Linked DNA regions of Canis lupus familiaris. The protein of the gene in region 1 purifies or fractionates together with the protein of each later gene. This does not show direct contact. Links are inferred from orthologs where the notes say so. Each region holds a gene or a part of one and is shown on either strand. Other genes may lie near its edges.

Region 1 (3,821 bases):
CTTAGATTTGACTTCTCATTTCATGAAGTTTGTCTCCACTGTTTTCTCTACTCAAGCCTATGGATGGATTGAAAGTATTAGAAATTATCTTATTTAGAGAGAATACTATAATACCTGAACAACATTAAGCAAATTATCAAATAATTTGTAAGATGCATAGAAAAATTATAGTTTTTCAGTATTAGAGTACATATTTTTCTGAGAACATCACTGCTTTTGTGACATTTGTTGTATTGTGGGCTTTCTGGAATGCTAAAATTAGGTTGTTTACCTGGTCACTTCAATGACGGAACATTATAAAAAACAGAGAAAGAGATTTTAAAGTATTTGGAACTCACTCTGGCTATTTAAGAGAATATAAAGTTTTGGATGGGAAGGTTTTGTTTTTAATGTAAGAGACTCTTACTGAAAATTCAGAAATTAAAATGAGCCTTTTTTATTTTAAATGAATTAATCAAAATATGCCTTTCATCTGGTTTATTTTGATATCAGTATTTGTTCTCTAAGAGCCACTGCTAAAGATTCTGTGTTTATCACAGATAAAATTTATTTAAAATTTTATAAAATTATATAAAATTTAGACCCTAAATAATGAATACAATTATTTGTAGGGACATTGTTAATGTAATTTGAGTGGTGGAAAAACAAATACCTGTGGAAACTTTTTTTCCCACTTTTACACATAGCATCACATTAGTATTGTCCTTTTAATGTGTATTTTATCCAAGATCCAAATCTGACGTTGCTTCTTTCATTTTTAGTCGTACAAGTCAGCTGTCTATATCAACACTGTTGGAATTATGCAAAGGCCAAGCAGGAGAGTTGGCAGTTGGCAGAGAAATACTTAAAGCTGGTAATAACTTTTTACTTAATATAGCAGGTCTTACCATTTTCCTTAGCTGACTATCGAATCCTTTAATCTCTGATAGGGCAATCCTTTAATCTCTGATAGGGCAGTTGTATACAGGACTTTGGAGTAATTGTGTAAATGGATTTAGTCACCTAACAATAGAAATATGAATTAACCAAAGAAATTCTTTTTTAAAAGATTCATTTAATCTGGGGGGGGGGGGGCACGTGCGCACATGTGTGTACATGCATATAGAGGGAAGGGCAGCAGGAGAGGGAGCAGACTCCCCACTGAGTGCAGAGCCAAACACAGGGCTTGATCCCAGGACCCTGAGACCATGACCTGAGCCGAAATCAAGAGTAGGATGCTTAACTGACTGAACCACCCAGGCGCTCCTAAGGAAATCTTAAAATAAATGTAATTAGAATATTATTCTTGGCATTATGCTCTTTTGATGTTTTGTTTTAGATTTTATTTATTTATTCATGAGAGACGCAGAGAGAGAAGCAGGCTCCATGCAGGGAGCCCGATGCAGGACTTGATCCTGGGACTCCAGGATCATACCCTGGGCCGAAGGCAGGTGCTCAACTGCTGAGCCACCCAGGCGTCCCTGTTTTAGATCTTAATATCACGGTTTTTCAGTTATTTTTACTTTCCTTTTCATAGGATCCATTGGTATTGGTGGCGTGGATTACGTCTTAAGTTGTATTCTTGGAAACCAAACTGAGTCAAACAACTGGCAAGAACTTCTGGGCCGCCTTTGTCTTGTAGACAGACTGCTGTTGGAATTTCCTGCTGAATTTTACCCTCATATTGTCAGTACTGATGTTTCACAAGCTGAGCCTGTTGAAGTCAGGTAATTTTTCTTCTGCAAATAGATTACTTTGTTCTTCCTTCCTGCCCCATCCCTACCCCCTAAGAAAGACACATTAGATTTATGAAAGACTCAAACTACAGAGCATATGTAAGTTACTAATACCTTAATCTTCAATTGACATAAAAACCTCAAGTCTAGGCTAATTACAAATTTATAGATCCTCCACAAAAAATTATCAATCCTTTGTTCTGAAATGACATTTTTAAATGTATACGCTTTAAAGTAGTACCTTCTTTGTATGTGCGTACATTTTGCAGTAATTTTGACTTGTCTAGTAATTGAATGTGTCTTTTTTTCTTTCAGGTATAAAAAGCTGCTGTCCCTCTTAACCTTTGCTTTGCAGTCCATTGATAATTCCCACTCAATGGTTGGTAAACTCTCCCGAAGGATATATTTGAGTTCTGCAAGAATGGTTACTGCAGTACCCCACGTATTTTCAAAACTATTAGAAATGCTGAATGTTTCCAGTTCCACTCATTTTACCAGGATGCGTCGTCGTTTGATGGCTATTGCAGATGAGGTGGAAATCGCTGAGGCCATCCATCTGGGCATAGGAGACACTTTGGATGATCGACATGACAGCTTTTTGCAGGCATCCGTCCCCACCAGCTATCCAGAAGCCACAGAGAACAGCCCCCTTGAGCGTACAGACCATTTAGAGAAAACTGGAAAAGGACTGTGTGCTACAAAACTGAGTGCCAATTCAGAGGACATTACTGACAGACTGGGCAGCATTTCCGTAGGACTTCCCAGTTCAACAATGGAGCAACCAAAGCCAATGGTTCAAACAAAAGGCAGACCGCACAGTCAGTGTTTGAACTCCTCTCCTTTATCTCATCATTCCCCGTTAATGTTTCCACCCTTGTCAACTCCTCCTTCATCTGCCCCATCTGCACCACCTGGCACTGGAACAGATGTCTCTAAGCATAGACCTCAGGGATTCACTCCCTGCAAAATACCTTCTGCATCTCCTCAAACACAGCGCAAGTTTTCTCTACAGTTCCAGAGAAACTGTTCCGAAAACAGAGACTCAGATAAACTTTCCCCCATTTTTACTCAATCAAGACCCCTGCCCTCTAGTAACATACACAGGCCAAAGCCATCTCGACCTACCCCAGGTAATACAAGTAAACAGGGAGATGCCTCAAAGAATAGCATGACACTTGATCTGAACAGTACTTCCAAATGTGATGACAGCTTTGGCAGCAGCAGCAATAGTAGTAATGCTCTTATACCCAGTGATGAGACAGTGTTCACCCCAGTAGAAGAGAAATGCAGGTTAGATGTCAACACAGAACTCAACTCCAGTATTGAGGACCTTCTTGAAGCATCCATGCCTTCAAGTGACACGACAGTAACTTTTAAGTCAGAAGTTGCTGTCCTCTCTCCTGAAAAGGATGAAAATGATGATACCTACAAAGATGATGTGAATCATAATCAGAAATGCAAAGAAAAGATGGAAGCTGAAGAAGAAGAAGCTTTAGCAATTGCCATGGCAATGTCAGCGTCTCAGGATGCCCTCCCCATAGTTCCTCAACTACAGGTTGAAAATGGAGAAGATATCATCATTATTCAACAGGATGTAAGTATAGTCTTGAAGAGATTAGAGAATTTCCTTGGAGCAAGCTAAAAGAAATCTAATTCAGAAATGATGCTTTTCACATGAGTTAATCATTAGAAGCAGTTTTTCACATGGAATTATACGACAGTTTTGTATCGTTGCTTTACCACAAACACTACTTGCCTATTTCAAAGGCATTTCTGATTGATTCTGTAATGGTGATCACTTCTGCTTTTGACACTGGTCACCAGCACTGTCCCTTCAGAACTTTATAGGTGGTTTGGGAAGCCAGACTGAACAAGAATAATACTTTGCCAGACTAATTTTACAAACTCTTCCTCTTTTAACTTAACAGTAAAAAGATTGCTTTCATTTAATATGTAGACACCGGAAACTCTACCAGGACATACCAAAGCAAAACAACCTTACAGAGAAGACACTGAATGGCTGAAAGGTCAGCAGATAGGCCTTGGAGCATTTTCTTCTTGTTACCAGGCTCAGGATGTGGGAACTGGAACTTTAATGGCTGTTAA
Region 2 (3,651 bases), on another chromosome or scaffold:
TCTGCCCCTTTATTTCACACAGACGGGATTCCGCTCTCACCCCAGAATATTCTCCTCATGTTTTCATTTTCACTGCCTCAGGTTTCTTTCTAACATACTTTTTCCCCTCCTCGCTAATCAGTAGCATCCTCATTTCCTTGTTCATGATGGAGCCAAAAGAGCAGAGTAGTTTGTTGGTTTTCTGCTATTTCATATTAATTTGAAAGGCATGAAACTTTTGTGTTTTGGACCCTCTGCTCACTCCTGTATGTCACTTAGGGCCTTCTGCCTTCCTCTGCACTTCAGGTTGTGGTCCGACCCCTTCATTATTGCCTCTTTTCCCACCAGGGGTATGGGTAGGGGAAGGTGGGAGGAGGAAGAAAGGATGGTATTAACCCCTGTCCATGGAGAACAGTACCAGTGCCCTCACCAGAAGCCCATCTTCTGCTCCTGGTGGCTGCCTTTGCCTGGGTTGAGTCCCTGCAGATGAAGGAGCCGTGGCTGAGGAGTGGGCTTGGTTGAGTGTGTTACTGAGAAGGACTTCAGTGCTCTAGAGGCACTGAACGTTTCAAACAGCTCCACATAGCTCCTGACAGAAGTGGTCCCTCAGAAGGGCATCGTGTACCTCGCCCGGGTTACATGGCCGTGGCAGGAGGCTAGTGTTACCCACATGAGCCTGGCCTCTTATGCTCCTCAGCTCTCCTGTGTATCAGAGACGGGTTTTCACATCAGGATGGGCTGATGAGATCAGGGCATAATGTGGTATTGAAGGTCACTGCCTTTTTATTCTTCTTCCCTTAAATTAAGAACTTATTGTTCTGATTATATAAGTAAATGACAACCTTACAGAACTTACTAACTAGAAGAAAGTAAATATAACTTTGCCATTCTCATGGTACCACTGTGCTCATTTTGGTGTATTTTCTTCTAGTCCTTTTTCGTGTGTTTATGTATTTTTTTTAAGGCAATTACCTTCTTTCCAGTATTTCCCAGGCAAAGAAGGTAGCTTTTCTGAGGAAAATTGTTTTTAATAGCACATGTCCACTCGCACTTCATATCATCTGTGTAACACCTCACTGAAGTATAAAACTCCATAAAATGGGGTAAAATCCCATTAGGTTGAATCATCAGACAGGGATCTTTAATTGCTCAAGTAGTTTGAGTGGCTGCAAATGACATGTTTGGGGATCACTTTTATCCCATCGTCCTTTCCTGATACCTGCCCCAGGTGAGAGGCACCCATCTAGGTCCCTCCGTGGGCCTAGCTCTGTGGCAGTGACTGGAGCTTTGGGACACCTCAGAGGCCTTGCTCTATGTCCTGGCTCTGCCATTCACTGGCTGCATGCATAGATAGCCCTGTGGCTTGGGGAAAGTGCCTTAACATTTCTGAGTCTCAGTTTCTTCATCTATAAAATGGGGACTTGAAATAAAACCTCCCTCAGCGGGATCTTGGGAACAAATGTTTTATAAGCTACAATCCCCCCACCCACCCTGAATTCCCCTCCTTGTCTGAGTTGTGACCTTGCTGTTGGCTTTCTCTGTCATTAGCGGATGATCACCAGGCTCTCATTTGGGACATCCAGCAAATGCCCCGGGCCATCGAGGACCCTATCCTGGCCTATACAGCTGAAGGAGAGATCAACAACGTGCAATGGGCATCGACTCAGCCCGACTGGATTGCCATCTGCTATAACAACTGCCTGGAGATACTCAGAGTGTAGCGTTGGCAGCGCCTTGCCCACGAGGCGGGGGCTTGTGTGTTTCCTGCCTCTGCCCCATCCCCAAAGTAAGAAGAAACGTGTTTCTGGTGGCCAGTATGTCTCTCATTGCTTTGCACCACTGTTACCAGAAGCTGCTCTAGGAGTTCCTGGTCAGTCATCCCATCACTGTCTGTGCCAGGCTCAGTGCTGTGTGGCACCTCCTCAGCCCAGGGCTGAGTTTTAAGATTTTCTCTCCTTTTCTCTTCTCCTTTGGTTCCTCCATTAAAATTTTATGTATATTTGTTTGTCAGCTGTTGTGTTAATAAGCATTGCAGGCACCGGCTATGTTTGTATTCATCTGCCCCAGATGTCTCTTACCTGTCTGCTGCCCAAGGCAGCAATCTTGTGTCCATGTCATGTCAGTACTTAAGTGGGAACAAATACCAATCTGGAGTTGTCTTTCTTCCTATTATCAATGTCTTTAACAAATTTCAACTTTGTATATTTTTTACCTATCAGGCTAATTTTTTTATGAAAAGAATTTTACTCTTCCTGGTTTCTTTGTTTGTCTCCTATTCCACCCCATTAGCACTTCCTCTCTGCCCTCAGTGCCTGGATCTAGCACTGGGCTCTCGACCCCATGAGCAGTTTGCCTTCTTGAATCACTGCCTGAGTGCAACATACCTGACCAGGAGTCCCAGACCGCCTTGGTGCTCTGAAGTGGGCCAGTCTTCTCACTTTTTCTCAGCCTGGCTCTTCTCAAGGGCATTCTGGGCTCCAAAACAGACACGTGAAGCCTCCGGTTCCTTCCTGAAGCACCTTTGTTCGACCCCACCAGGACCTACAGGGCATGTGTTAGAGTTGAGAGAGACAGCGTGCCTGACTTGGAGGGAATAGCTTCAGAAAAGCTGAGCTCAGAGTGTATTTCCAGTACATCATTTCCGAGTCTGTTTTTCCCTCTGGGTGTAATCCCCAGGCCATTTACTTTCATGTCTTGAATGATAGGCAAGCACAATCTGTACGCTGAACCTTAGTATCTCTGTTTGGTTAGTTTACTATGACTGATGGTTGACCGCTCTTTGAGTGAGAGAGTCCTGCTTGAGAGACTTGTAGTCTGTTTGTCTGATTCTGAACAAGATCTCCTTGAGAGTGTGGGGGACTGTCAGCTCCTGGAAGGAGTGGCCTGATGGGCTGCGATAATCCCAGGCCATCAAGTATATAGATAGCTATAGGGCCAGCCAATCATTGCACACCTGTCAACCACCTCCCCCCGGCCCCCATTATTAGGCTCTGAGCAGTATTGGACTTGCAGGCTGCAGTGTCTGTTTCCGTTACATGAATGAGTTTCACACAGGGGGCTTGTGTGTGATTCCAGTGGTAGATGAGTCTTTGGGCTGGCAGGGTTTGGGACATGCTTAGAGTCTTGGGGGACTTTGGTCTGTCGCATTCTGCCATAGGGTTTTGAGCCCCTCTGGACTGTGCAGCTGTTAGGTAGGAGAATAGCAGACCTTGAGGCTGGTGGTTTTGTCCACTTGGGTTCTCATCTGCTCTTGAGAAACATAACAATTTTGTTCTCCTGGGCCCTTAAACTCTTGGCTGAGTCTCCTTTTCCAGAGCAGATGTATTTTTATCTGCAAAGTTACAGTTCTTTGCTTTACTACACAGGCACCTGTCCAAAGAAAAAGGCTCTCTTCTTAGTGTATTCTCCCTTCTACTTTTTCACTTTCTTATTCTGATTTTGAGGCTCTTTAGCTGGTCATCCACTTGAGGTTGACTTTCCTGCATTTACTACCACAGTTGCACTGTGTCGTTCAGCAGTGTAAAGTGAGCAGTTCTTGGTTAGAACCCTCCTCTGCTTGTAATTGTATTGGTGGTTTGAGGGTCCTTCTCTTAAGGGTGGCAAGTCTAAATTGATGGTTGGTCGCTCTAGGAGGCCATTAGGTTCTTCCCCTGGAAAGCAGTCTGAAATGGA

What was found.
Region 2: the proteins of MAP3K1 (region 1) and DCAF7 purify together in Homo sapiens (affinity purification with mass spectrometry; 3 studies listed by BioGRID and IntAct, with this or other methods). This does not show direct contact. The link is inferred for Canis lupus familiaris from reciprocal best matches to the Homo sapiens genes MAP3K1 and DCAF7.

What each region holds. Positions count from the first base shown.
Region 1 is NC_049223.1:43,166,260-43,170,080, forward strand, and holds part of MAP3K1 (mitogen-activated protein kinase kinase kinase 1), read left to right. Parts: exon of another isoform or gene 1-57; intron 58-761; coding exon 762-853; intron 854-887; exon of another isoform or gene 888-1,002; intron 1,003-1,516; coding exon 1,517-1,706; intron 1,707-2,030; coding exon 2,031-3,309; intron 3,310-3,672; coding exon 3,673-3,821. UniProt on the Homo sapiens protein: Component of a protein kinase signal transduction cascade. Activates the ERK and JNK kinase pathways by phosphorylation of MAP2K1 and MAP2K4. May phosphorylate the MAPK8/JNK1 kinase.
Region 2 is NC_049230.1:15,336,396-15,340,046, reverse strand, and holds part of DCAF7 (DDB1- and CUL4-associated factor 7), read left to right. Parts: intron 1-1,527; coding exon 1,528-1,700; 3' UTR 1,701-3,651. UniProt on the Homo sapiens protein: Involved in craniofacial development. Acts upstream of the EDN1 pathway and is required for formation of the upper jaw equivalent, the palatoquadrate. The activity required for EDN1 pathway function differs between the first and second arches.